Linked DNA regions of Nothobranchius furzeri. The protein of the gene in region 1 interacts with the protein of each later gene in a biochemical or structural test. Links are inferred from orthologs where the notes say so. Each region holds a gene or a part of one and is shown in the gene's direction. Other genes may lie near its edges.

Region 1 (9,856 bases):
CTGGTTGACCAAAGTCCGCTAACAGAATCAAATAAGAAACAAAATTAGAGAAATTCTGATCTCAAGTTATTGAACAGGTAAACTGTGCCATGGGGTTCTCTAAAATAAGGCTAAATATTCAGGTGATCAGCTGGCCGGTATAAAGTCAGAGTGTACACCGCTGTAGGTGATCCCTATGTTAGCTGGTAGCTTTAGCCTACCTCCCCTTTCTCAACTGTTAACATTTTGTTCAAAGCTGATTAATTTTTTCCGACAAAGTAGACACAAATACATCAAATGCAGATTATTATTACCACCAAGGTGTAAATATATTCCTATTTTAAACATGTGTAGTCGCGCCGTTAGCCTCATCAGCTACTAACAAACCTAATGCTAGCTCCAGCTCATTAAACTCACCTTTAAGTCGTTCTCCGGTAAATATTTGCAATGTTTAGCGATTTCTACGTATTTGTCAAGGTCTAAGGGCGCCATAATAAGGAAGGTAAAACTTATATAAAAATACTATGTTAGCCCGCTAGCTAGTTCCTTTTCTTTTCCGTTTTTTTTCTAGCTCTTCCTCAACGATTCCTCAGCTGTAAATCCTCTGATACATGCACTATCGCCTCACAGCGGCTAACAGCGGAAGTGCAATGAGGCAGGAGCAGCCGTAGCCTGGCCTGCGTGCGCGAGGAGAGTCGCGACTCGCGATGGTTTCGCTGCAGACCAGGAGACCGCAGATTCAGACCCACCGCAGATGCAGACCCACCGCAGATTCAGATCCACCACAGATTGGGACCAACCGCAGATTCAGGCCCACCGGAGATTCAGGCTTGTGTTGTTTATGAGACAGCGCGTTCCAAGATGGAGGACGATCAGAGAGTGATGAATGTGAAGCACATTTGTTTAATGCTTTCAAAGTCTCCATACTAAACTTTCAAAACTAAATTTAAATCTCGTTTGACAACAAAATGAACATTTTCTTGTGTTTAAATGGTAAATGGCCTGTATTTGATATAGCGCCTTCTAGAGTCCTGGAACCCCCCAAGGCGCCTTACAACACAATCAGTCATTCACCCATTCACACACACATTCACACACTGGTGGGGATGAGCTACGATGTAACCACAGCTGCCCTGGGGTGCACTGACGGAGGCGAGGCTGCCGAGCACTGGCGCCACCGGTCCCTCCAACCACCACCAGCAGGCAACGTGGGTTAAGTGTCTTGCCCAAGGACACAACGACAGCGACAGACTGAGCGGGGCTCGAGCCTGCAACCGGGATTACGGGGCGAGCACTTAACTCCTGTGCCACTGTCGCCGTCACCGTCGTCGTTTAGTTTGACTCGTAGCAGCATTACTTATCTAACCTTGACTAATCACTACTTTACAGTGTAAAAGTTACAACTCTAGATTCATTGTAAGGTCGGTTGCAAATATTATGTACATAATGCTTTGTACAATCATGCCTAACTTTGATTTTTAGGTTTTTTTTTCTTTTTTTTAATTCAATTAATATTTAAAATTGTTGTATTGGTCTAAATGTTCTGTTTTCATGCCTTAGCTTTATTTTATATTTTATTTAATTTTCATGTTTGAATGTTATTAGTAGTAGTAGTATTTTTTTCTCTTATGTATTTTAATCCTTTGTATTTTCTTTATTTTATTTTTATCCTACATAATGAGTAGCCCTTGACTGCAGTACACAGGGGCGGGCACCATATTTAAAAAAAAACACGTGCGCTGCCTAAAGGCATAGATATGTATATAAACACCGTGTTTATACACATTTCTACAGATATGTATATGAACACCGTATAAACACGGTCATATGTGACCCAATGTGCTGGGTCACATATGACCCAATGGTGGGTTGAACTGACCCAACCTTAAGATTTTCAGCCTCAACTCAACAGTTGGGTTAGCAAAAATAACCCCACTTTTTTAAGAGTGTATAGACTACTGCGTCACAACCTGGCCATTCACTGGAGATACACTTTTAAAACCAACAGAAATATTATTCAAAAAGTCTTTAAAAATCCTCGATCAAAAGCCTTTGTCACTTCACCACTGTAATATTTTGGAAAAGTATAACATGCTCAATTTTAAAATGCGTATTAAGTTTAAAAATAGCTGTTTAATCCACAGAATTCTTAATGGATGAGCCCCACCTCCACTTTCCACATATATCAAACTAAGACCGGACAATGGCTTTGGTACCAGAGCCTCCACTAGAGGAGACCTTCAGATTCCCTGCAGGAGAACAACGTTCGGACAAACTGTATCGTCAGTCAGAGGGAGTCAATGTTGGAACCATATCCCAGTGAAAATCAGAGAGTGTGCCACTGATAGAACTAGTGATGTGTCGGTAGCGAACGAGCCGGCTCTAAGAGCCGGCTCTTTGAAGTGAACGACGGGAGCCGGCTCGTCATTCGGAGCCGTAACCCCCCCCCCCCCCCCCGCCTTGGTGAAAGCTACAGGTGACTGGTTAACATGTGTAACTGCATGTCCAGACTGTCCACACACAGAGCAGTAGGGGCGGGGAAGAGGGAGGATCAGACTCAGACAGACACACAGCAGAGCACCTGCGGGTGGAGGGAGACAAGAGGCAATGAGGAGGACGAAAAAGGCGAGCGAGAGGGAGGAGAGTGCGACGAAGACGGTGAGAAAATGAGCGCCAGCAGTCGGAAAGTGGAGATTTCTTAGTGTTCAGTTATTAAATCCATAGAAATTATAAACATTTGACATATTGCTTTTTTAACATTAGTAAATTATTTTACATATACGGTAGTTTAGCATTATTTTGGTTATAAATGTATTCTACGCAACAGAAAATCTGAGGAGCCACTTGGGAGCCGAAAGAGCCGGCTCTTTTTGGTGAGCTGAGCCAAAAGTACCGGCTCTCGAAAAAGAGCCGGAATTCCCACCACTAGATAGAACCTCAAACTAAACCCAGACATGTTTGGACTTGTAGTAACTTGCTTGTTTGTTTTTTGTTTATATTTCTATGTTTTTGTATCTGACTGTTTTTCATTTGTACATTGTAAATTGTTTTATTTAGTCATCCTGTTGAGGAACTGCAGATGTAAATTAGCAATTGTGCTATAATCTGGCCTCTTTACAATGGATACAACGTATGTGATTGTTATTAATGCGCACTGTCCCGAATAAATAAATAAATGAAATGATCGACCACCATCTCCGAGAAAGAGAGGATCACAAGCACAAACTGAAAATAAACGAGTGCGTCTGGCACCAGAAATAAGGGCGCTAGAGTCGAACACCTTGTGTATTAAAACATTTTCACACACTGCAGGTGAGGCCTCGAAGATGGGGACATTTAAGGCAGCTTTCACTAGATTCAAAAGAACACGTATTTGTTTTACCCATTTCTGATAATTATGTAGACGGTCTCTTAACATTGGGAAGGATGTGCAACCCATGCAGGGGGTTGTGGGACTAATATTATAGCATCAGCTGCTCCACTATTAAGTAAAATGACTATAAATAAGCCGATAATGATATGTTTGGTTGATTTGGTCATATTTTGGTGTGTCTGGTTGCTGCTTTGCTTATTAAATTATTAAAAACCAGAACATTTCTACTCCCAGGCGCTAGGGGGCGGTGAAGCCGGTGCGTGATGACGTCACGTCTTTTTACGTAGTAAAAACAAGGCGCGTGTGAGTTGGTGGCGCGTTTAAAGAGTCCAGTTTGGAGAGTAAAGAGAGAAACGCGAGGATTAGAAGTGCATTTTCCCGGATTAGGGTTATTAATCTGAAGCGGAAGGATGTCTCAACACAGGTTTGATGCTTAACTACATTTAGTTCCTGTTTTCTGTCTTATTCGCTTATTTAAACCAAGAAAATGAAACAAGTCGATGATCCGATTAAAATAATCCAGTTAAATAAACGGATCACTTAATCTGATGTCGGACTACTGGGGTTTCCTTTCTAAACTGCTGGTTTGATCATTTTATGCAGATTATTTTTAATGGTGTTTAAAAGCAGCTCTCCCAGTGGTTCTAGCGGTGGGACTTTGCGCGACCTGTCATCATCCTGATGGCGGGCTGGGGGCGGGGGGGTGGGGGTGGGGAGAGTCTTCCTCAGGATGAAGGTCCGGTTCTGGCTGATCAGACCCATCTTGTCCACCTGCAGCCGGACCCTGATGCACCTGCCCTGCTCCAGCCTCCGGAACAAACGGTCCCGGACCTGCCTGGCTGAGGGTCCGGACTCTGAGTGCACCCCCACAGAGTCCATCCAGCAGAGACCACCGCCTCTCAAGGTCCCACTGCTCCTCCCCAGGGGCAAAGAGAACGAGTTTGTGCTGGCCCGGAGGTCCCGGAGGAGGAAAAGCTCCAAGTCAGGTAGGAGAAACCCCCCCACCCCCCCACGCTTCCATCTGGCTGCCTTCAGAAACCTTAAACCTCTCTGATTGGCTGGTTTCTCTCCTCAGGTGTTTCATTGGATCATCTACCTGAGGAGCTGCTCCTGAGGATCTACTCTTGCCTCCCCTTGCATGACCTGCTGAGGATTTCTGGAGTCAGTAGGCGCTGGCAGCGTTTGGCGTAAGAGATCCTGCTGGACCGCACACACACACACACACTCAGAAAACCCAGCTGTGGTTAGGGTCGGGGCTTCTCCAGGGGGTCCCTGATAAGTCCCTGCTTGACCAATCGCACCTGTTCACTCGAGGATTTGTCGCTAACACCAACGATGCTCAGGTCAAGTTCTCGTGCGTCTGCGGGCAGACCCTGTTAATGGATGCTAGATAAGTGAGCATCTTCCCCCAGATGGAGCAAGAATTATTCATTCATGCCAACGAGCACTACAGAGAACTAGAACAGAGCACCGGCTGTTTGATTAGAGCCGTCTTCCTGGAGGCGTTTATTTAGTTTATGTGTTTCCATGGCAACGCCGGAAGTCCGCTTCCGTTCTGTTTCTCCTCGTATTTCATTTGAGTTTCCATCAGTGGGGCTTTGGGCGGAGCAGCAGAGACATGCAGGTGACCTTTGGGCTGGAGGGGATCAGGATCCGGTTCTGAGGTAATCTGTGTGTTTCAGGTCCGATGAGTCTCTGTGGTACAGCGTGGACCTGGAGGGGCTGACCCACGTGGGCCCGGCTCTGCAACAGGTTCTGAGGACCGGGGTCCGCCGGCTGCGCTGCCCTCGAGCTTTTGTAGAGGAACAATACCTGACCGACTCTCGGTGAGTCCGACAGCCCGGATTGGGGTCCGGTCCCAGCAGCAGGTAGAACCCCCCTGATAATGGGTTCTGTTCTGTCCTTCCAGCCCGCTGCAGATCGTTGAGTTGGACCTGTCCAGCTCTATCATCCCGACCTCGACTCTCCAGAACATTTTGGGTCGCTGCAGGCTGCTGCACCACCTGAGCCTGGAGGGTCTGCAGCTCTCCAACAGCATCATCAGGTCTGACTTGTACCGGGTCAGGATTTGGTCTGATTGGTTCTGGTTGTTTCAGACATGAAAATCCCTCACGTAGGGTCACAGCGAGGCCAGCTTTCCCAGTTCAACCAGTTCCAGTATTATCCACTGGAGGACATACTCATGAGCCCCCCCGACACCACCAACAGTAGTGGAAATAAGTCCATCTGAACCGGCGACGCGCTCGAACGCAGCTCATCTGAACCGGCGACGCGCTCGAACGCAGCTCATCTGAACCAGCGACGCTTGAACACAGCTCATCTGGACCGGCGACGCTCCAATGCAGCTCGTCTGGACCAGCGACGCGCTCGAACGCAGCTCGTCTGAACCGGCGACACTTGAACACAGCTTGTCTGGACCGGCGACGCTCCAATGCAGCTCGTCTGGACCAGCGACGTTCGAACGCAGCTCGTCTGGACCAGCGACGCTCGAACGCAGCTCGTCTGGACCAGCGACTCGCTCGAACGCAGCTCGTCTGGACCAGCGACGCTCGAACGCAGCTCGTCTGAACCGGCGACACTTGAACACAGCTCATCTGGACCGGCGACGCTCCAATGCAGCTCGTCTGGACCAGCGACGCGCTCGAACGCAGCTCGTCTGAACCGGCGACACTTGAACACAGCTTGTCTGGACCGGCGACGCTCCAATGCAGCTCGTCTGGACCAGCGACGTTCGAACGCAGCTCGTCTGGACCAGCGACGCTCGAACGCAGCTCGTCTGGACCAGCGACTCGCTCGAACGCAGCTCGTCTGGACCAGCGACGCTCGAACGCAGCTCGTCTGGACCAGCGACACGCTCGAACGCAGCTCGTCTGGACCAGCGACGCTCGAACGCAGCTTGTCTGAACCGGCGACGCTCGAATGCAGCTCGTCTGAACCAGCGACGCTCAAACGCAGCTCGTCTGGACTGGCGACGCTCAAACGCAGCTCGTCTGAATCGGCAACGCTCGAACGCAGCTCGTCTGGACCGGCGACACTCGAACGCAGCTCGTCTGGACCAGCGATGCTCGAACGCAGCTCGTCTGGACCAGCGACGCTCGAACGCAGCTTGTCTGGACCGGCGACGCGCTCGAACGCAGCTCGTCTGAACCGGCGACGCTCAAACGCAGCTCGTCTGGACCGACGACGCTCGAACGCAGCTCGTCTGAACCAGCGACGCTCAAATGCAGCTCGTCTGAACCGGCGAGGCTCGAGCGCAGCTCGTCTGAACCGGCGACACGCTCGAACGCAGCTCTTTTGGACCAGCAACGCGCTCGAACGCAGCTCGTCTGGACCAGCGACGCTCGAACGCAGCTTGTCTGGACCGGCGACGCGCTCGAACGCAGCTCGTCTGAACCGGCGACGCTCCAATGCAGCTCGTCTGGACCGACGACGCTCGAACGCAGCTCGTCTGAATCGGCAACGCGCTCGAACGCAGCTCGTCTGAACCAGCGACGCTCAAATGCAGCTCGTCTGAACCGGCGAGGCTCGAGCGCAGCACGTCTGGACCGGCGACGCTCCAATGCAGCTCGTCTGGACCAGCGACGCGCTCGAACGCAGCTCGTCTGAACCGGCGACACTTGAACACAGCTTGTCTGGACCGGCGACGCTCCAATGCAGCTCGTCTGGACCGACGACGCTCGAACGCAGCTCGTCTGAACCAGCGACGCTCAAATGCAGCTCGTCTGAACCGGCGAGGCTCGAGCGCAGCTCGTCTGAACCGGCGACACGCTCGAACGCAGCTCTTTTGGACCAGCAACGCGCTCGAACGCAGCTCGTCTGAACCGGCGACACTCGAACGCAGCTTGTCTGAATCGGCAACGCTCGAACGCAGCTCGTCTGGACCGGCGACACTCGAACGCAGCTCGTCTGGACCAGCGACGTTCGAACGCAGCTCGTCTGGACCAGCGACGCTCGAACGCAGCTCGTCTGGACCAGCGACGCGCTCGAACGCAGCTCGTCTGGACCAGCGACACGCTCGAACGCAGCTCGTCTGGACCAGCGACGCTCGAATGCAGCTCGTCTGAACCAGCGACGCTCAAACGCAGCTCGTCTGGACTGGCGACGCTCAAACGCAGCTCGTCTGAATCGGCAACGCTCGAACGCAGCTCGTCTGGACCGGCGACACTCGAACGCAGCTCGTCTGGACCAGCGACGCTCCAATGCAGCTCGTCTGGACCAGCGACGCGCTCGAACGCAGCTCGTCTGAACCGGCGACACTTGAACACAGCTCATCTGGACCGGCGACGCTCCAATGCAGCTCGTCTGGACCAGCGACGCGCTCGAACGCAGCTCGTCTGAACCGGCGACACTTGAACACAGCTTGTCTGGACCGGCGACGCTCCAATGCAGCTCGTCTGGACCGACGACGCTCGAACGCAGCTCGTCTGAATCGGCAACGCGCTCGAACGCAGCTCGTCTGAACCAGCGACGCTCAAATGCAGCTCGTCTGAACCGGCGAGGCTCGAGCGCAGCTCGTCTGAACCGGCGACACGCTCGAACGCAGCTCTTTTGGACCAGCAACGCGCTCGAACGCAGCTCGTCTGAACCGGCGACACTCGAACGCAGCTTGTCTGAATCGGCAACGCTCGAACGCAGCTCGTCTGGACCGGCGACACTCGAACGCAGCTCGTCTGGACCAGCGACGTTCGAACGCAGCTCGTCTGGACCAGCGACGCTCGAACGCAGCTCGTCTGGACCAGCGACGCGCTCGAACGCAGCTCGTCTGGACCAGCGACACGCTCGAACGCAGCTCGTCTGGACCAGCGACGCTCAAACGCAGCTCGTCTGGACTGGCGACGCTCAAACGCAGCTCGTCTGAATCGGCAACGCTCGAACGCAGCTCGTCTGGACCGGCGACACTCGAACGCAGCTCGTCTGGACCAGCGACGCTCGAATGCAGCTTGTCTGGACCGGCGACGCGCTCGAACGCAGCTCGTCTGAACCGGCGACGCTCAAACGCAGCTCGTCTGGACTGGCGACGCTCAAACGCAGCTCGTCTGGATCGGTGACGCTCAAACGCAGCTCGTCTGAACCGGCGATGCGCTCGAAAGCAGCTCGTCTGGACCAGCAACGCGCTCGAACGCAGCTCGTCTGGACCGGCGACACTCGAACGCAGCTCGTCTGGACCAGCGACGCTCGAACGCAGCTCGTCTGGACCAGCGACGCGCTCGAACGCAGCTCGTCTGAACCGGCGACGCTCAAACGCAGCTCGTCTGGACCGGCGACGCTCAAACGCAGCTCGTCTGGACCGGCGACGCTCAAACGCAGCTCGTCTGAACCGGCGACGCTCAAACGCAGCTCGTCTGGACCGGCGACGCTCAAACGCAGCTCGTCTGGATCGGTGACGCTCAAACGCAGCTCGTCTGAACCGGCGATGCGCTCGAAAGCAGCTCGTCTGGACCAGCAACGCGCTCGAACGCAGCTTGTCTGAACCGGCGACACTCCAACACAGCTCGTCTGAACGTCTCCTGTGTAGACCTCCATGATAATGTCTCCTTCCTGCTCGTACGGTCCGAGCCTGAACGGAGTACCGACGGGTCGGATCCGGCTTGCTTCCATTTTGTGTCCATTTAATTTGAGCGTGATGAGTCGAGCTAGGACAGAAGAGAGATGCATGGTGAAGACACGCTAATCCGGTTCTGGGCTGAAAGTCCTCGGGTCGCTTCGGTTGGAGGAGCTCAGAACTCTGATCTAGTTTAGCTGTCCGCCTGTAGACGCTCCTGCTGATCTTTGTTCTGTCTCATGAACCGGGCCGACCTGGGTTTGTGTTCACTTCTACTTATACTGGGAGGAGACTTTAGTCCACCGCTGAGTCAGATGTTTTCTTCTGGTTGCTTGTTTCTCCTCAGAGACTGGATGGATGAGGAGATGATAAAAGGGGTCTCACCCGTTCTCATGCCTGTGTTTGTGTTGTTCTGCCCCCTAGCTGCCTGGTGAAGAACTCCAACCTGCTGCAGCTCAATCTGAGCGGCTGCTCTGGCTTCTCTTCTGCTGCTCTCACTGAGCTGCTTCAGTCCTGCTGCAGGTCAGCCGATCGCCCAGTTTCTACTGTCGGAACCGGGCCGTTGGGTTCTGATGTATCTGTCCTTGTATCTGCTCCTTCAGGCTGGAGCAGCTGAACGTGTCGTGGTGCAGCTTCAGCAGCGATCATGTGAAGAGTGTTGTGGGTCACCTGAGTCCAACCGTGTCTGCCTTGAACCTGAGTGGCTACAGAGAGAGTCTGACCCTGGACGGTAAGGAACCAGTGCCGGGTCCAAAACCAGCTAAAGGCAGATCAGAGACAATACAGGCATCAGGATATTTAAGGATTGAATAGCCAATAAAATGACTTTAAATGAACAGGAAGTCGGTGTGAGACCAGAACCCAGTTAGAAACGGTTCTGTAGGTGAGTGATGGGGGCAGGGCTGTACACCAGGAGGGACGTTCGGGGGGCCGAGGAGCACCAGGGGGGCCACTAACACAAC
Region 2 (9,880 bases), on another chromosome or scaffold:
CAATAGCAGAAAAACAACATGCCATCACCTAAATTGTCTTATAAGGTGTATAGACAGAGACCCTAAGCTACACCTATCTGTGACCTAAAATGCTTGGTCCAAGTTAAACAGCAATTCTCATCTGTTTTGTTTGATCTCATCTGTAGACATTTATTATAATTGGGGATGTCAAACAACTAATTTTTAAATGTAATTAAACATAGGCTGTGAATTAATCAAAATTAATCACTATTTCCAAAAATGACTGAAAAAAATACCAAATAAAACAAAAGTAAATGAATGCCATCCTCCTTGTGATGATGCCCTGGGCAACTGCCATAAAGTCACATCAAGAAATGCTGCTGATCATTCCAATGATCCCAAATAGACTCACATTAGGCCACATGAAAGCAACTGAACCCAAAAATATATTAACCAGTATATAACTGCACTCTCACACAACACGCCTGCAGCAACAGTTAGGACTCCTCCCTCCCTTTTAAAAGCGTTTTCGCTTCTGAGGACATTGTGGTTGCAAAGCCACATGTTAGTAGTCTGGCCCCGGTGTGATCAACCAGTTTCTGCGGGAATGTGACGGCGGAACCGGTTCACAGCAGCGCGACCCCCCCCCCGCGCCTATCTAATAGCGTTGCGCTTACGATTTTATAGACTGTTTTTTTACGAGCTTAGGGCATGTCTAGCCTGTGTAATAATCCGGGGCTTGGGTGAATAACTTTTGAAATGTTTTTAACTTACCTGGACACAGGGCTCTCTCCTTCCTCGCTGATGATTCCGACATGCGTTTAAGATGCTGCATCATCACCGTAGTACTCCCGTGCCATGTTAAGTCTGACCTACAAACGTTGCAGGTAACGAATGTCGTCGCCTGATTTAACTGAAAATGCTCCCAAACTTTTAGAAGTTTTCACTTTTTTGGGTCTCGCTGCTTCTGCCATGTTCCTCTTCCAAACACCTGCCGGCTCTCTCTCGCGCTGAACTGACTTGCTCCGGTCTGCGCTCAACGGCGGGCAGGAGGGAGGGGAGGGGGGGCCTTTTGGAAGAGTTGTGCGACACAACGAATCGATGAAGCAATTTGTTGCCAACGCTTTTAGTAATCGATTTTCATCGAATTTATCGATTCGTTGTTGCAGCCCTAAAAAGCAACCCTGGCTTCAGCGAGTCCATCTACTGACCTTTATGTCCTCTAGCAGATCGTCCATGTCGGTGACAGTCAGCCCATTGAGGAATGTGTATGGTTCGTGCATCTCCACGGCCAGATCATCATCCTCAGCACTGATGTACTTTGCCAGAAGGTCGATGGGCTTCGCACGGCCATCGCGAATCCTAATCTTGGATCTGAACACAAAGGAGCAGGTTTATAACACATAAAGGCCTAGATGCTGAATAAGCCTGACACAGAAACAGAAACGATGAAGAGGGACCTTAGTTTGGCCTGCTGCAGATGGAAGTTGTCCTCCTGTTCAGCCCAGGTTTTGAAGTGCTCTGCCTCCTTCTCTCTCTGCAGCATTTCCAGCTCCGTCTCCCTCATGGCTTTTTCTCGTTCCCGCTCCAGCCTCAGCTGTTTCACCTGAATAAACACAAAGCTGCAGCCACTAAACTTCAAAATTTTGATTTAGATTCAAAATCACCCCAAAACTCATACCTTCTGCAGCTCTCTGCGGTTCTCCTCCTGAATACATTTGTTCCTTTCTTTAAGATCTTTTTCACCAAGATGGCCGATACCCTTCTTATCCAGCGCCTGAGAACAAAGTATCCTGATGAAAGTCCTTTCAAGACTTAAAAACAATCAGCCACAGATCTGGGAAAGGAACCCACCTTCTGCCATTTAAAGGTTCCTAATAGGTTATTGTCACCAAAAGGATTGTCTGCGTTGGTGTACCCCATGTATTCCTCACTCCACCCCATCTTTTCTCTCCTTTTTTTCTCCTTAGCTTCTTTCTTCGCCAACCTTCTGGCTCTCTTCTCCTCTGGCGTCTCCAGTGCTTTCATCATCTCCCTCTTGTTCTTCCTCTCAGTTTTCTCTTTGATTGCTCGGCTCTCGCAATCTGACCCTGAACTCTCAGATGACTCGGAAGAACTGGGGCTTTGCCTCCCTCTGTTCCCATCAGCCCTATCTCTGCTCCTCTTACTCCTCCCCCTTTCCCTCTCCTTGCTCTTCCTTCTCGTCCAGCTTTCGTCCCTGTCTTTTGTCCTTTCTCTGTCTCTGCTGTTGCTTCTCCACCGCTCCCTCATCTGTCTGTCTCTGACTGGACTGTTTCTTCTCCTCCTCCTTTCTCTTTCTCTGCTTGCATCACTTGAATCAGAGGCAGACTGGGACCTTCCCCTTCTTCTCTCGTGGGATCTACTGCTGCGTTTCTCCATCTCTTTCCTTCTCCTTCTCATCTTGGAATTATCTGAATCAGGACTGAGACAAAAATAGAATTTAGTGTGAAAATTAAATGAATATAAACGCATAAATTATGACTAGTATCAAGAGATCATTTTATAAGCCTTTTACAGTGTTTAACACCTATTCTATATATAATCTAGGAGTGTTTAATGATCTATTGGATTACAACGGTTTTTATAATTAATCAAAGTAAAATTCGTTTCAACCTGCTTCTAAACAGTTACATGCAGACATTTACTGTAAATATAGTGTTTAAAAACACCTGTCGCAATAACCACCTGTGGGTTACACCCACCCACCACCTATAAATATGACTTATTGGAGGAAAGATGATGAAAATCTGCCAATCTCAAGCGACTCTCTATTCTGAATAATAGATCACAAACAAAAATATATTTTGACTGTGGCGACTTTCTTCATTTTTTGCGCTGCGTGAGTCAAAAACAAGTTAATGTGTGAATCTCAAGTTGGACGAGTGAAGCTTAACTAACAGACACAACCTTTTATCGTACTGTAACATATTGTGTTAAAATTACCTCGATGCACGATCCTTTGATTTGCTGCTGTGGCGCGGCGCTCTTCGACATCTGTCCCCCTCCGATTCACTCCTGGACCCTGATCGGCCCCTATGTTGAGGTCGGGCCCGAGAGCCATCGCTCGAAGCCTCGCTGCTGGATCTGCCTCGACCCAGTGTGGTCCTTTTCGGGCTCGGAGACCTGTTGCGACCTCTCCTCTCATCTGGAGATCGCGACCTGTTTACTCTGGACTTGTTTCGGTGATCTCTGCCCCGACTTATGGACCTGGAACGAGACCTACGCCGTGTTTTCGAACCCATCACGAACTTTCTTCTTTTCGGGGCCCTAAATGCAGTCTGTCGCGTAAATAGGAGGCATTGACGAAACACTGTTGATTATAATAACGTTTACAATCGCACTAATAAAAACATATGTCTATGTTTAATGTTCGCATACTCTAACGTGTGCTATGACAGAAAAAATTACGTGTCAGATTTCTTTTATAAAAAATCCAAATGTATTTAGTAAGGCAAAGAAAAGCTAGCCTAAATGGGCTTTCCTGAGCACTGGCGCAGATTAAAACGTCACAGCCACTTAATAAACTACAAATTAGCCACAAATGAACGCAGGATTGTTTTTCTTACAATTTAGTTATGTCGGTGATAAAATACTATTATTGATGTCATAGATATTTCGTCCATAGTAACCGCTACCGTATTTAAACAGTTTAACAGGAAAATGCAAGCACAAACAAACTTATTTTTCTTTTTGGGCATTTAAAATAAAAATAAAAACATCATAAATAAAAAGAACAGGAATTATATTATACCAGGGTTTTCAGTTATTTTGGTTTCACGTTTTTTTAATCTAACAAACGCGGAATGAAAGACTACCAGTCCCAGCCAACAACAGGGCGCCATTACCTGTTTTTACCAGGGGACTCTTTCAGCAACACATTTCCTTTCGCAGCTTTCTATGAGGGCTAAACAATTATGGTTACTGGAGGTATAGTTTGGCGTAGTGTCACATGACTTTTTGCGTTTGTCTTTTCAAATTGCCATTTTATGTAGTTATTTTGTGTTTTTGCGGTAATTACGTCGCTCCAGCTGGTCAATTAGACGGAGCTTGTTAGCTTTCCTTAGCTAACAGTAGATTTAAGGCTTATATCAGCTGCTGCTCTGCCAGGTAAATCAGCCAAAGCTGTTGAGCCTCTCAGACACAATGTGTTTCTCGTTTATAACATTACTGAGTTTTGACATTAATAACGTTTAATTTGGGAACAGACCAACCGCAGTCTTTGTTTTGCTTTTACGCGCGGTCGGCCTGTTTTCTTTGCCTCCGAACATCGAAAAAGGAGAAGTTGTGCTGTTTGCTGGCTTGGCTAGCTTAGCCGTGTAAACAAAAGCTGTCGCCTCCAGATAATCCTGAAAGCTTCATAAATCATTATGGCGCAACACGACCCTTCTCATGTAGCTAGTTCGCAGAAAGCTCTCATGTTGGAAATGAAGAGCCTCCAGGAAGAGCCTGTGGAGGGATTTAAAATCACTCTGGTGGACGAGGCTGATTTATACAACTGGGAAGTCGCCATTTTTGGTCCACCAAACACTCATTATGAAGGGGGATATTTCAAGGTAAGGTTGTAATTAAAATCAGATGACATATAAGAAATGACCGTAGTTTAAAAAATAACAAGATGTCCCCATTTTCCCCCCTAGGCAAGGATCAAGTTTCCTACAGATTATCCTTACTCCCCTCCTGCTTTCCGCTTCCTAACCAAAATGTGGCATCCCAACATCTATGAGGTTAAATATTGACGTGTGTGTACTCATAACAGTGTATTTAATTTGAATGAATGCATCTGATGATGGAATGTATTTGTTTCCCCTCTTGTAGAATGGAGATGTGTGTATTTCTATACTGCACCCTCCAGTGGATGACCCGCAGAGCGGAGAGCTCCCATCAGAGAGATGGAATCCAACCCAGAATGTTCGGTTAGCATTTCTCTTTCTAATCATATTCTCTCTATACGTTTCTCCTTTCTGGTCTCCTTCCATCTTTGTCCACTTTGCAATCACTTCAATGGTTCACCCAGCGCAGACTCTTATCTTATGACATTCATTATCAGCAGCATCTTCTTCACCGGCTGCAGCAGCCAGCAGTAAAGCTAGATCTGCATCTTCCTCTTATTTACAAACAAAATTAAATTGATCTTTGGATAATATCATACTATGCAAACTAAGATTTTGTTGGTTTATTTCTATGAAAAACATACTTTGAGTACCTTAATTCATTGTGACTCACAATAAGTGTATCGCATGAGTTTGACAGCATTTTGCTGCAGAAGAGGGAGAAAATGCATCTTTATTTATTATAAACTTCCTTCTGAGGTTATTTGTCAGGCTCACATTATGCAATCTGTGCACAAAAAAATGTATCTTTGATCTTTTTCTGTAACTGAGAGCCAGATTTCTATTCAACAAGAAACTATCTATGTAAAAGCCACCACAACGATGTCACACTCACAAGTGATATTAAACCTGTGATCTGTAGTAGTCGAAATCACACAACTTCAGCAGTGTTACAAAGATGTAAGCTCTGGTGGTTTCGGTCACTTGATGCAGTGCAGCTCTTATGTTTTTGTTGTTGCAGGTGGTATACCGTTAACCTAACCTAATTTCCTCATTTGCATTTTTGCTGCAGACACATTAGATCTGTAGATCAGGAAGTCTGTCACAAAGGCTGTTCCTTTGGCCACAAACAGAAGCAGCTTCTTTCTGTTTCCCATAACGACTCACTAAAACCTTACTCACAATGCTACGTTTTATAAATGTAATGTAAAGGCTTGTCAGTGCGCATTGTGCGCTCTGCTGAGAAGGTGATTGGCTGCAGCCCTCCATCTCTCCAGGACCTGTACGTCTCCAGAACTCGGGGGCGTGCAGGCCGGATAACAGCTGACCCTTCGCACCCGGGTCACAGACTTTTTGAGCCGCTTCCCTCAGGCAGGAGGTTACGGTCCATCCGGACCAGAACCTCCTGCCATAAGAACAGCTTCTTTCCATCTGCCGTTAGACTTGTGAATAGATTATAAACACACAACCATGCTGGTCTTCTGTACTCGACACAACGTCACGTTATCGGCCATGTTACCATTACCTGCCATTTTAGCTGAAAGTTTTATTCTAGTTTTTTTAATTATTATATTTTATTCTATTTTATTCTATTTTTAATCTTATTATTCATGTTATATGTAGCACATTAGTGCCGAAGCAAGTTCCTAGTTTGTGAATTGTTTGTTCACTGAAAATGGCAATAAACCTATTCTGATTCTGATTCTGGTAGGGTGGTAGCACATGGGTCTGACAGGTTTTTTTAATACATGTTTTATCAATTAGCTTTAAGTTCCTAATGTAATATGTGCTTCATTGTTTATTCTAATAAAATAGTAGATGAAATAAGTAATTTAGGCTTGTGACATTAAAATATTTTTTATGTGTTTAAAACTTTTTAATTCACCTAAAGTCGTTTTCTTATGGTTCTATACTAAGTTGCCTTTGTTTTTTGCTTCTAGGACCATTTTGCTGAGCGTGATCTCGCTGCTAAATGAACCCAACACCTTCTCCCCTGCCAACGTGGACGCCTCTGTCATGTACCGGAAATGGAGAGACAGCAAAGGCAAGGACCGGGAATATGTAGAGATCATCAGGTAAACATTAGTGTAATGTTATTTAAGACAAACCTCAAATATTTCTAAAAGATTTTCAAAGCCACACCATCCACACAAAAGTAATTCAGTCTTCATAAAACAAATCCCTTCAGGAAACAGGTGCTGGCCACAAAGGCAGAAGCAGAGCGAGATGGCGTGAAGGTGCCCACCACGCTAGCTGAATACTGCGTTCGTACACGCGCCCCGCCGCCAGACGAAGGCTCTGACCTCTTCTATGACTATTACTATGAAGACGATGACGTGGAGGGGGGAGACGGCGACTGTTGCTATGACGAGGATGACTCGGGCAATGAGGAGTCGTGACATTCTTGTTGTCAGAAAACCCAACCTAGCTGACGAATGCTCATCCTTTAACTCTTCCTGGGTTGCCAGATATTCTTGGTTTGCAACCAAGAGAGATTGGAAGCTTCCTTCTAAATCAGTACAAGAGCTTTTTTCCTTCAGCCTCAGAGGTTAAAACTGATGCCTCGTTGCGAGAGGGTCAGACTGTGGTCACTTTTGCACCAGCACAGCCACCAATTTTTTTTTCCAACTTCGAGAACTTTTCATCACACTGAAGCTTACTTTGCTCACAAAATCCAGTCCTGGTTTTAGTATGAAATATTTTTGGTTGGGTTTCATGATCACTGAACTGGTGCAAACTCTTAAACCATCACTTCACCTGTTTTGCATAGCTGTATTTCTCTAATTGTAACTGGGGGTGTCTCACTGGTTGTCCGCCTCGTGGTGGAAACTTTTACAGACTTCAAGATGGACAAAGGACTGCAAGTGTCCCATATTTTACAGTTTCTGTCTTTGATTGGCAGGACATGGAGGAGTTTTCATGGACAGTATGTTCAAAGTTCTCATGCATGCCAGAACTTCTTTGAAAGCTTTTTGTCTTTTTATTTTTATTTTTTAAATTGGTGGACTGTTTCCCAACGTCATGAGAGACTCGTGGCAATGGAGGGCCGTCCCGTCTGCTGGAGTCTGCTGAGTCAGCTCCTCATATGAACATTCTTACTAAAACATGAAATTGATCTCTGCTGGGTTTTTATCTTGGATGTGTTTTTCTGTCACTCAGTGTGGGGTTGTGTTTTTTTGAATGAACTTGTTATTAAAGTTGTGTAATAATCAAGTTGTTGAAGGTTAGAGGGGCAGAACTAATTATTGATTAGAATTGTATTTCTCCTCAGCGTTGCTCTCTGAGCCGCCTGATGGACCCGAAGAACTAAAGCAGAGTGTAAATTAAATTTTAATACGCTTTGCCAGATGTTTCTCTTTTTGCTTTCTTGCAGGCCCTATGATTTTAGTTTTTCTTTGTTAGATGTTCGGCATGCACTGGAATAGGTAGTCTTGTGTCGGTGTGTACTACCGAGATCAAACTTCTTCAGCCCTACAACTGAAAATGAAATGTTAGCCCCCTTTATTGATTTATTTTTTTGTAAGAGTGGTTTTGATTTTGTTTTTAGAGTGTGTGGATGTCCTATGTGTAATTTTGTCTTCAGTAAGCATTATTGTTTTATTTACTTTAATTGGGACATCATATTGAATTACTCAGGATAAAATTATACGCGACAAAACAATTGAGACGAGCAACTCCTTTCCTCTTTCGGTGGTCTTCAGTGTCAGTTCACAGCTTCTACAGGAACCATAATCCAATATGCACACGTATGAATGATCACCATATGGTTTTACTTTTCTGTCTGTTTTTTTTTTCTCAAATATTTAAAAATGAAAAATAAAGATTAATTTGAAAGAAAAATGCATACTGTTTTTAAAGCTTGGAGTCATTTAAATGATTTTTTAAAAGTTGTTCTGCAGGTGAAGATGGAAGATTTTTGTTTAGTTTTAGTCTAAATGTAGTCATTTTACAGATATGTTTGAGAATAAATGTCCTTGTTTGTGGAATGTCTGATCAGGTTAAATCCCATTTTTAAAAGGCACCGAACCGTTTTGTTCTGTGGGATTTTTCAGTTTTTATTATCAGACTTTTTATTCTAATATATTCAGTTTCATTGTGTAATTTGGATTTAAATTTTTACTCAATTTCTAACAGCTGTACGGTCTAATCTAATCTCTACCACAAGTCTAAACTGGTCTGAACGAAGGTGGAGCGCACGTTGAGGTATTTTAATTCCTGAAGTTCTTGAATGCAGCATGTGTCGGCGCACAGTGATGTCGTCATTCAAACGAAGCACCCTAAACCTGGCTGGAAGAAATACGCAACAGATAAAACAAGAACAGTTTGTAAAACAAAGAAAAAAAAAATAAACAGTTACAGTCATGTCTGTGAACTACGCTGCAGGACTATCGCCTTACGCGGATAAGGGTGTTTGCGGTCTACCTGAGGTAACATTTAGGTGTTGTATCGCTCCGAGAGCTTTTCAAAGAGCTAGTTAAATTAGCAACGTAGCGTCGCTTTCATTGAGAATGCATTTTTGTTTGGTTCGTTTAAGAGTAATAATATAAAGACGGTGTTGTAGAGCAGACCGTCTGTGCTGTGTTAGCCTCTTTGTTATTTAACATAAACACTATGAAGCACGGTGGAGGATAGATGATGGTGTGTTCTTTTGTTGTTGCCACACATCTGGCACGGTTGTATACAATAGTCGCCCCCTTGCTAATTGTTTAATTGTGTGTTTTTGATCTGTGCCAGAGTTTTGATAATCCGGAGGAGCTAAAAGCAAAAGTGGAAGCCCTCGCTCAGCTGATTAAAGAATCTCAGTACTTGGTTGTCCACTCTGGAGCTGGAATTAGCACCTCAGCAGGCATCCCTGACTTCAGGTGAGAGACAATATGTTTGTTCCTGCTAATGATTAAAAGCATTCTAGCGGATTTTTCCATTTGATGTGATCACACACACCTGAATTCGGATCTTCCACTCATCAAAGTGGTACAGCTGGTCCTCATTTGGTAGATTTCTTAGCTTTTATTTTGTCTTTATGACTGTAAAAGAGTAAATCTTGGTTCTCATATGTGCAAACTAATTTTGAACAACTTAATCAGCTTATGATGGAAGATATGTATTGTTTATGTTTATGTATTTAGCAGACGCTTTTGTCCAAAGCGACTTACAAGTGATAATCGGCATGTTGCCCCTGAGGCTAACAACAACAATAACAACAACTTGACATCAATAATTGTATTGTATTGTGTTATTAAAGGTGTGGAACACTGGAAACCATTTTTTAAAATCGTATTTCTGATTACAATGGGTCACTCAGAGTTTTTCATGCAGGCTGAACATGAAAATAGTCTCCTACACCTATC
Region 3 (9,957 bases), on another chromosome or scaffold:
CCAGAGAGGTGACAATCCACGTACAAAGAGCCAGCTTCTCTAGCTGAGGATGAGACCGCCAAGGTCCCTGCCTTCAGCTACCACTTGCCACACATTTCACCCAACCCCTTTGGCCCCTCCCACAAGTGGTGAGCCCTTGACATGTTTTCTCGGCACTTGCCGACTTGCCCCACCTTCCGGCCTGGCTCCAGAGGGGGGCCCCGGTGACCTGCGTCCGGGCGAGGGAACACTGTTTCCATTGATATTTGTCGTCATAAGGGGTCTGTGGACTGCTCTTTGTCTGATCCCTCACCTAGGGCCTGTTTGCCATGGGCGATCCTACCAGAGGCATAAAGCCTTTGACATCTTAGCTGCTAGTATCATTGGAACAGCCAGTTAGCCAGTCACCTGATTTGTTTAAACCATTTTGAAGGCATGTTCCAACTCAGCCAAGGACATGTACTGTATAAATCCTGTTTCATCTAAGCTGGACCAATGTTTCTGCATGCTTGCCTTTGATTATTGTCTCAAAAAACAATACCTCTCTCTTATTTTGTCTTTCATCAGGAGTTCTTTGCATTGACACTTATGACATTATTGGAGATGGAGTGAATGACATCCTTGTGGGCAGGGACGATGGGACAGTTGAGGTCTTTGGATTTGACAATTCTGGTGAATCCACGTTACGATTTGAACATGTGAGTGTATAGACAACCAAAACTGAAAGAAGCACTATAGTTTATTTACTCTTGTTAAGTTTTCTCTTGTTGGAAAAAAAGTCCTCTCATAAAATGTTGTTATGCATGCACGCAAATATTCAGCTTAAGATCAGGCAAACACGACGAACAATCAAATATTTTCAACCATAACTGGTGTGAAATCAGTTGATTAAAGATACTTTGCACAATTTCAACTGTCTGCATAAGCTGAAAGTGACCGGCTGATGTTTGTTACAGGTTTTGTCAGAGAGTGTGACCTCCATCCAGGGTGGCTGTGTGGGGAAAGAGTCTTATGATGAGCTCCTGACCTCCACATATACAGGTTAGAGGAAAGACTTAAAAAGACACTACGCAAAGTCTAGTATGTGCAAAAATGACGCTTTACAGGGTTAATGAAAGACCACCCCAGCCCTTATTGTCCCCTGTAGACAGAATATTTAGCTTCAGAGTTCCGGTTTGGTCTGTTGGGAAAAGTTGAGCTGACATACCTGGCACTGCAGTCTGGTTCCAGGACTTTTCCTGCATGTTTTAGATCATGAACACAGCTGATTTGTTTAATTTAGTGATGAACCACTCCTGTAGACACTAAGGAAGGCTGGGGAGACATTTCAGCTGTTAGACTAAGATGATAAAAAGGTGAACACACAGCGAGGAGGTAGGTTTTACTTTCAGTTCTACTAAATGGACACCAGGGGTGCCAAAAGCAATCCTAGTCTCCCTTTAATGGATTCAGTAATGAGAATGTCCTGTTTAACTATTCAGGAGAGGTGACATAAAAAAGTAAAGTTTCATTATTTGACCATTTCCAGGATGGGTGACTGGTTTGACCACTGAGCCCCAGAAGACAGAAGCTGGTCCAGGAGACGAGGTCAGGATGAGCAAAGAGACCCAGTCTAAAATAGAAACACTCAGGTATCAGAGCTTCTCGTTTGACTATCTGTGATTTGGTTAAAGGAGAATTTAAAGACAAATCTGTTCGAACCCTTTTAGAGCGGAGCTGGAACAGCTGCAGGTTAAAGTGTTACAGGGACGAGAGCAATACCAACAGATCTCTCAGTCCAACACAGCTGTCTCTGCTGTGCCTGTCTTCAGCATCAACGACAAGTTCACCCTCAGCCAGGACGACGCCAGCTACAGTCTGACGCTGGAGGTGCAGACAGCCATCGACAACCTGCTGCTCCAGGTATACGCAGCATATAAGCCCCTCTGAATGAAAAACTATTTTAAAAATGCTTGCTTTTGATCCTGTGTTTCAGAATGAAACGTCTTAAGTGTCATTTTAAATTTGGATTTTTTACACAGAGTGACGTCCCCATAGATCTGCTGGACGTTGATAAGAACTCTGCTGTCGTCAGTTTTAGTGAATGTGACTCAGAGGTGAGCTGTATGAATACTTTCTTTACATAAAACCATCCTGCCTCCGCTCCAAACCGTCTGATGCTTGTTGTTATTTCAGCAGCCTAATGGGAACTTCCTCCTGGCCACATACAGATGTCAGGCCAACACTACAAGGATGGAGCTTAAGGTAAGCAGAACATTGGACTCTTGTCACTCTCTGGTTTGCAGTGAAGCCATGCAGACATGCCTTTAGTGTTTACTTTTGTTTATAAATCTATATTATCACATTAGGTCCAGTTTTCTCTGATTCTGGTTGCTTTTACTTTTTACTTAATCACTTACCATACTTGTTCAAAGAAAAGCTTTAATGCAGTGTTATACAGATGTTCTATTAAAAATTGTTACCTAATCTACTTTTTAAACCTGTTTTATAAATAATTGAACACAGAATAAAATGTTTAATCCCAAACTGAAACATTTTTATAGGTGAGATCCATTGAGGGACAGTATGGGACCCTGCAGGCTTATGTTACCCCCAGACTGCAACCAAAAACCTGTCAGGTTCGGCAGTATCAGATCAAACCACTGTCCCTTCACCAGCGGACGCACAGTATAGACCCAGACAGGTAATGATTTTAGTCTATATATACGGTATATACATGGATTTCAGTTATTCAGATTTTCTGATTAGAGCAGTCATTACTAAAAATGTATCAAATGACAGCATGGAATTATCTTGAGGCATAAGATTGCCAAAACTTATTAATAAACTCGATATCAAGAATTATGCATTTAGCCGTATTTATTAAGAGAATTGCTGTATAGCCTTCAACAAGACTACACTACACTACATTTGGCTTTTGAGAAATTGTATTATTTCCTTCTGTATGTGTTTGTTTGTTTCCGTAATCTTAGAGATTTCTCATTATAATTAGAGTTAACTCAGTAATGTGATCTCTCATTTGTTTTCTTTCAGACCCATGAATCAGCTCAATTTGGTGGGACAGTTCAGTTTTGCAGAGATTCATTCCTGGGTGGTTTTCTGTTTGCCAGAGGTGCCTGAGAAAACTCCGGCAGGCGAGAGCATTACTTTCTACTTCTATAACACATTCCTTGGCACACAGCTGGAAGCCACCTACAGGTAAATGCATGCACAAAGTAAAATAATACTGCACTCCATCTGAAATAGTACTTCAGTTGCGAACGAGTCTGAATGTCTCATTTCAGCAAAGGGGAGGGCCACTTCAAGTCCGACAATATTTCTACTATCTCTATACTGACTGATGTTCTTTCCAAAGAAGCTACCAAGAAGAAAATCAATCTAAACATTTCATACGGTATGTTTATTTTTCTTCTGTTTCCGGATAAGCTGAGACGTCTTTTGCCATCATTCAGCGACATAGAACAACATGTTTATTGATCTACCAGATATTAATGACGACTCCGTGAGCCACACCCTCAGGATGATCCACCCAAAGCTGGAGTATCAGTTGGTGCTGGCTAGAAAAGTTCAACTTGTCGATGCTCTCAAAGTAAGTTTTGGTTAAATGTGTTTTGTTGCTGTTTATTTATGATTCAGTTCATTATAGTTGAATCTATGTTTCCTAGGAACTTCAAGTTCATGAAGGAAATGCAGATTTCCTCATCCCAGAGTACCGCAGCATTTTGGATGAGTCTGCTAACCTTCTGGAGGAGTACAAGAAGCAGCCAGCCCACCTTGAAAGGCTTTACGGTAAAGCTGGAGTAAAAAGAACTAACTTTCACTGTTGATTAATTTTTGTTATTGTTGCTTTTTGATTTTCACTTTATAAAGTTTTGTGTGTATTTCTGTTTTCCTGCAGGAATGATCACTGACCTCTTCATCGACAAATTCAAATTCAAGGGCCAAAATGTGAAAACAAAAGTGTCCTCGTTGTTGGAGATACTTGATAATTACGAATTAAAGTCACTCTTAGACTTTTTCAATGAGCCATGATGCCATAATGGCCAAAGATGATCTATCTCTGTGACGGTTGTTGTGTTGCAATCTTTACATGACGATAGTTCATCTTTGAGACTGTGTTATTTTGTTAAATTTTATTTAGAAATAATTTACTCTCCCTTAAGAGTTGAGTAATAAATTACTTTTGATGTATTAAGGCGTACTGCAAATGGTTAGGAGAATACTGCAATACTCTTATTTTCATGCAAGAATTTGATGGAATTTGTTACAGTTATAGTATGTGTGTCAAATGCTACTCAATTTAATATCTAATCTTTCTGTATTAAACCAGTCCTTGTGCAGTAACTTGTCAGTAAAAAATAGCTAACACACCAATTGTTTTCAATTTTATTCCATATTATTTACATCTTAATGTAATGTACCTCATGCTACAACAGATTCGTCAAGAAACAAGTTGTTGCTGTATACTGGGTTAGGTACTTCCATGTGGATTTAAGTTTTATACACAAATTTATCTAATCAGCATAAGTGGTCATTCAACCTAATGTAAGAATAGGACACATGAAAAATAAAGCCAAACATAAAAATACAATAGTATTTAAACATTTTAAATTATAGTCTTATGAGTAATTTCTTAAACTAAACATATGTGCAAGTCTTTCAGTAAACAAGTATACTGGTGGACCTAGAAATGACCTCAAGCACGAGCCCTAGGTTAGGAAGACGTCTAAGTATGTTGAAGTGCTTCTAATGATATAAATATACATAATTGTTGCAGCAAAGATTTTTATTCCAAATGCGTTAACGTTGTTGTTACTCGCGTTTAACTTTGTATTTGGGATCTTTTTTTCAAACCGGTTTTAAATTTGCAATTAAAGTTTTTTGTCCCTCCTCGCCTCCTACACTTGTAATACGTCAGTTCCTTCGCGGTCTGTGATTGGTCGGTTTCAATCATCGCGGGCTACTTGAACTCTCTAAGTGTTTGCATGAAAATGCATCGACAATAGCTGCTGTCATTGTGCAGGTTTGTACCGGATACAAAACTTATAAATAGAATGGCAACTTAGTTTTTCCTTAGTTTTGCCAACCCGATGTCAAAGGTGCACGTTTGTTTTTATTTGCTTTGTTCTAGCGCTGCAGTTCCAAGTGCTGTTGCCATCTCAACAGTTTAGTTCTGATTCACGATTCAGTCTGCTGTGCAACAGCTAAAGCTCGCTTCGACATAACTGCTCACACGCCATCTTTTTTAGCCTTTTGATTTGTAAGCTTTCCTCTTTTTTTCGCTCTGTGAGGAAGCACACTACGGTTGACCACTGCTTTTTTATTTATTTGTTTTTTTGTTAAAAAAAGTGCGGAGAAGTGGATTCTCTCTTGGAGGGTGGAAACATGTCAGGAGCTAACAGGCAAGGAAATGCGGCTAGTGAGCTCCCCAACCATGAAAACATGCTTTCAAGGCTCAGAGGGTCGCTTAAACACCGAGCTGGTGAAAACCAAGAAAACCAGCCTCCCAAACAAGCCGCCAACAGAACCGTGCTGGGAGCCCTGCAGAACAACCATCGGAGCAAAGCCCAGAACCAGCGAGGCGCTAAACAGGTAACAGGCTAGCAACCTTGGCCTAAGCTAACACCTAGGCAGGCTCTGAAGGCAACTAAAATGGTTACATTTGGATGCAAGTACGTTAATTAGCTGCTTTAAGCGCCTTTTTAAAAATGAAGTAAAATGACATGTTATGTTGCTCTGTTAAGTTTCCCCTGCTTTCCGCCATTTTAATAACCTTATAGCCCTTGAGTTGCTTTGTTCTAAACACAAATGTGCTTCTGGAGAACCTCCCGTCTTCATTTACTGTATTTAAGTCAATTTACACAAGATTTTCTTTGCATTTACAAGTATCCTGTAACCGAGACTTAACACAGAGGTAAAATTAATTTAGCATAATCTGTAGACTTCTTTTATTTATTTTTTTACACACCTGCATGTTTTTCGTGTTCTAATAAAGGGCATACATTTTGGGTCCTTCCTAATACATTTTGCTATTGTAGAGTTAAACTAATTAATCACCAGCTGGTCTGAGAAGAGAAGTTTTTGAAATACTAATTTATTACCTTTTTAATGTAGTATTAATAGTTAATAATACTTTATAATATATTGCTTCCACTGAGCCTCACATTAACAGAAATGCAAAGAAATTTGCTATATTTGAATCACATTTTCCACAGAAGTTTCTAATTCACAAATCAAGTTTTGGCAGATGTCTGTACATTACAGATTTTTTTTTTTTTTTTTGTTCCAGGAAACATCACAGCCCTTGGCTTGCAAAAATGAAGATTTTAACAAAATCCTTGTTGAAAGACCTGTTAAGCAGCCAGCTTTCCAGATCCATGTGGATGAGCCTGACGTAGCCTGTGACAAAAAGCATGTGGCTGAAACAAACAAAGCGAAGCCCACAGTGGAGGAATCTCCTCTGGTTGTCAGTCATGCTGTGGCACGACTCCGACAGCCCCTGGCAGTGATCGAGGTTCCGGTTCCGTTAGCCATGGATGTCAGCTTTGGTGGGTTAATATTCAATTCAATTCAAAAATACTTTATTAATCCCAGAGGGAAATTGATTGCTGTAGTAGTTCAGTTCAGTTCACTTTATTTCAAACATATACATTCACCAACATTTCATAAAATCATTCCACGCAATTGTTTGAAAAGGAGTAGGGAGAAGTGTATACTTATTTAGCCCTACCCCTCAGGTTTACATCCTCATCAAAATTTAAACAACAAAACAGTTACAATGCCTTCAAAAAAAAAATAACAATAATAATAAATAAATAAAATTATCATGTTCAACTAGAACTACATTTAGATTTTCTAATTTGTAGAATAGATTAAACATCAGTTTGCATGCCGTCCTGGGTTAATTGCATTTTCTTCATTCTTATACTTATTTAACATTTCTTTTTTGAGTTTTATTTTAAACTGGTTTACATTACTACTATCCTTTATTTCTTCTGTTAACTCATTCCAGAATTTAACGCCCGCTATTGAAATAGACATCCTTTTCAATGTTGTCCTTACTCTTTGTACTTTTAAATTCCACTTCCCTCTAAAATTATACATAAAAATAACTCAGAATAATAATAATAATATATAATATTAATAATATTAATCAAGTCATCAAAGAGTTATTGTATATCACAATGGCTGTTGGCAGGAAGGATCTCCAGTAGCTGTCAGTGTTGCAGCAAAACTGAAGAAGCCTCTGACTGAAGACACTCTTCCATTGTCGGGCAGTCTTGTGAAGAGAATGCTCAGGGTTGTCCATCATTTTCTTGATTCTCTGGAGAATCCTTCTTTGCATTATCTCCTCCAGCGGTTCCGAAACTGCCGAAACTCTGGCTGAGTCCTTGAAAAGGCTTGGAGTTCCTCCATCCACATTGCCCATTATGATCGATGGAAGAGATGGTTTGAATTTCCTCTTTCTCTGTCTCCGTCCCGCTCTGCACCCACGCTTCTTGCGTTTTAGCTCATTTGGGATTTGTGGCTTCAGTTGAGGTATTATTTCAGTCTTTCCAATGTTAATCAGTTGCTCCCGATTGTAAACCAGACGGTTGCCATGGTTACGCATCACAACATGCTCAAAGTGAAAAAAGCTAAAAGTAGCAGTAAAAATCCTCCAAGCTTCACAGCACCAGAAACAGAAAAGTGTCCAAAAAATAGTTTTTCTTGAGAAACTAGAAGAAAAAATGCCCAAGAAAAGGCTAAACTTACATATAGTCAACAGCTACTCCAACATGCAGCCACCCAGAGCAGCGCAGTTCCGGGGAAGAAAAAAAATTGACTTTCCCTCCAATAGTTCATTATTACGCAATAAAGTGTTAACTTTGACATGTTAGTCAGCTTTATTGTACTAAATATAGACTGTTTTCTCTCCAGATTCTCCCATGGACATGTCTGTGATAGAAGGGGATCAAAAACCTGTGGCTGTAAATGAGGTTCCAGAATACGCTCCAGAGATCCACACATACTTGAGAGAGCGAGAGGTGAGTGCATTAATCTATTATCTAGATGTTTTTTTTTTTTTTTTTTTTTTTTTTTTTTAGATACAAATCAGTTTAATCTTCTCTCTGTAGACTAAAACCCGACCTAAAGCGGGCTACATGAAGAAGCAACCCGACATCACAAACAGCATGAGGGCCATCCTGGTGGACTGGCTGGTGGAGGTTGGAGAGGAGTATAAACTCCAGAACGAGACGCTCTATCTGGCCATCAACTACATCGATCGCTTCCTGTCCTCCATGTCTGTTCTACGGGGCAAACTTCAGCTTGTGGGAACCGCCGCCATGCTCTTGGCTTCGTACGTGGTCTATGTGGTAGCTGTGTTTGGACTGTAAAGTTTACCACGTTATATACATTTTTATATTTCCCTGCAGGAAATTTGAAGAGATCTACCCTCCTGAAGTGTCAGAGTTTGTCTACATCACAGATGACACGTACACAAAAAAGCAAGTGCTAAAAATGGAGCACTTGGTGCTGAAGGTGCTCTCCTTTGATCTGGCTGCTCCCACAATAAACCAGTTTCTCACTCAGTACTTCTGTCACCATTCTACTGGTAAACAGGTGGAAAGTTTGGCAATGGTAAGAGCCAGTCACGTGGTGCACCTAATCCACACTTGAGCAGACTAGTTTTATAAGCAAATCATCGTTATGGCATGTTTAACGGAGGAACTTTTCTTTCTAGTACCTTGGGGAGCTCAGCCTGGTTGATTCGGATCCGTTCTTGAAATACCTGCCATCCCAGACGGCCGCTGCAGCCTACGTCCTGGCTAACAATACGCTTACTGGAGGATCCTGGGTAAAACTACTGTTAGACTGTAGACTACACAGTCCCTGTGTGGATCTCTTACTGCTGATTCTTGCAGTAGATTTAATTATTCCATACTGTTTTGCAGATGTTGATGTTGAAATGACTTTCTTCTCCCCTCAGCCTAAGCCATTGGTGGAGATGACCGATTACAGTCTGGAGGATCTGATGCCGTGTGTAGAGGATCTCCACAGACTGTACGTCGGTGCCACCCAGCACGCCCAGCAGTCTGTCCGGGAGAAGTACAAGGGCTCAAAGTTAGCTTCTGATTCACCTACATTGTTTCTGTTGTGTGAAGTTGGACATCACTTATCTATGGTCTTTTTTTTCCTTCACAGGTACCATGAGGTTTCCTGCATCAGCTCGCCAGCTAAACTGCAGCTCAACTAGCTTTTGCTTGTTGGCATGCGTACCCTTTGTCTGTCTTAAACTTAAAAAAAAAAAAGTTTTTTTTTTTTTTAAGATTTTTTTTTAAGCTTCTGAGTTTAATATGTTCTGCACATTCTGGAGTGATGTTAGATTTGGAGGTTTTCTATATATTTTTTTATATTCTGAATCCCAGTGTTCGACAAAACAGATTTTGTATAATGAGGCAGTTTTTAACAAGACAAACCTTTTACCACTCTTAACACAAAAAGGGCTGCTTTTATCAACTGCATCAAACTTTTTAAGGCCTGTGGTTTAACCAGAACCTGGGTTGTGGCATTTTTTTTACACTTTTCTGGGGCTGAGTCTTTTAAAAACAGCTTTTGCCAATTTACCACTTTTTCTTCCTGGAGGTGGACCCAGTTTGACCTGTTGGGATGCAGATTTAAAAGTGTTAATCCATTCATCTGATTGCATGGATGCCTTGGAAGAGGCATTTTCTGCACTGTAAAATATAGCTCTTGTAAATAAAATCCGTTTAAAATGAGGAATGCCACATCTGTATCACGTTGGACTCATGGGGGCAGCAGAGGCCATGTTTTCAGCCATGGACGGATGAGGACAGGTCTGTCAAACATCTCCACCTCAGTCCTTCTAAAGGGTGTGTTCAGTGTGATTTCTTAAATCAGGATTTCATATCACCTGTTAACATGAGGCTGTAAATGTTTGGGGAACAATAAAACTCCATGGATGAATGTTTGCAA

The links.
Region 2: the proteins of skp2 (region 1) and cdc34b form a complex in vitro, tested with the Homo sapiens proteins (3 studies listed by BioGRID, with this or other methods). The link is inferred for Nothobranchius furzeri from reciprocal best matches to the Homo sapiens genes SKP2 and CDC34.
Region 3: the proteins of skp2 (region 1) and ccna2 are reported together in a solved structure, tested with the Homo sapiens proteins (2 studies listed by BioGRID, with this or other methods). The link is inferred for Nothobranchius furzeri from reciprocal best matches to the Homo sapiens genes SKP2 and CCNA2.

The regions. Positions count from the first base shown.
Region 1 is NC_091746.1:70,418,258-70,428,113, reverse strand, and holds the start of skp2 (S-phase kinase-associated protein 2), read left to right. Parts: upstream 1-3,632; 5' UTR 3,633-3,762; coding exon 3,763-3,776; intron 3,777-4,129; coding exon 4,130-4,338; intron 4,339-4,427; coding exon 4,428-4,539; intron 4,540-5,034; coding exon 5,035-5,178; intron 5,179-5,261; coding exon 5,262-5,396; intron 5,397-9,317; coding exon 9,318-9,416; intron 9,417-9,496; coding exon 9,497-9,624; intron 9,625-9,856. Other genes in the region: ppp6c (serine/threonine-protein phosphatase 6 catalytic subunit), read right to left, coding at 397-471. UniProt on the Homo sapiens protein: Substrate recognition component of a SCF (SKP1-CUL1-F-box protein) E3 ubiquitin-protein ligase complex which mediates the ubiquitination and subsequent proteasomal degradation of target proteins involved in cell cycle progression, signal transduction and transcription.
Region 2 is NC_091751.1:57,905,488-57,915,367, forward strand, and holds cdc34b (cell division cycle 34 homolog (S. cerevisiae) b), read left to right. Parts: upstream 1-4,349; coding exon 4,350-4,535; intron 4,536-4,619; coding exon 4,620-4,706; intron 4,707-4,797; coding exon 4,798-4,895; intron 4,896-6,472; coding exon 6,473-6,607; intron 6,608-6,720; coding exon 6,721-6,931; 3' UTR 6,932-8,376; downstream 8,377-9,880. Other genes in the region: splicing factor Cactin, read right to left, coding at 1,173-1,335, 1,422-1,567, 1,643-1,738, 1,816-2,404, 2,926-3,224; sirt6 (NAD-dependent protein deacylase sirtuin-6), read left to right, coding at 8,894-8,959, 9,267-9,394. UniProt on the Homo sapiens protein: E2 ubiquitin-conjugating enzyme that accepts ubiquitin from an E1 ubiquitin-activating protein, and catalyzes its covalent attachment to other proteins by an E3 ubiquitin-protein ligase complex. In vitro catalyzes 'Lys-48'-linked polyubiquitination.
Region 3 is NC_091741.1:74,289,722-74,299,678, forward strand, and holds ccna2 (cyclin-A2), read left to right. Parts: upstream 1-4,901; 5' UTR 4,902-5,002; exon of another isoform or gene 5,003-5,328; 5' UTR 5,329-5,364; coding exon 5,365-5,571; intron 5,572-6,268; coding exon 6,269-6,527; intron 6,528-7,899; coding exon 7,900-8,006; intron 8,007-8,096; coding exon 8,097-8,320; intron 8,321-8,396; coding exon 8,397-8,601; intron 8,602-8,704; coding exon 8,705-8,818; intron 8,819-8,950; coding exon 8,951-9,084; intron 9,085-9,165; coding exon 9,166-9,217; 3' UTR 9,218-9,952; downstream 9,953-9,957. Other genes in the region: bbs7 (Bardet-Biedl syndrome 7 protein), read left to right, coding at 547-677, 936-1,020, 1,508-1,610, 1,689-1,881, 2,001-2,075, 2,155-2,223, 2,523-2,662, 3,013-3,177 and 4 more. UniProt on the Homo sapiens protein: Cyclin which controls both the G1/S and the G2/M transition phases of the cell cycle. Functions through the formation of specific serine/threonine protein kinase holoenzyme complexes with the cyclin-dependent protein kinases CDK1 or CDK2.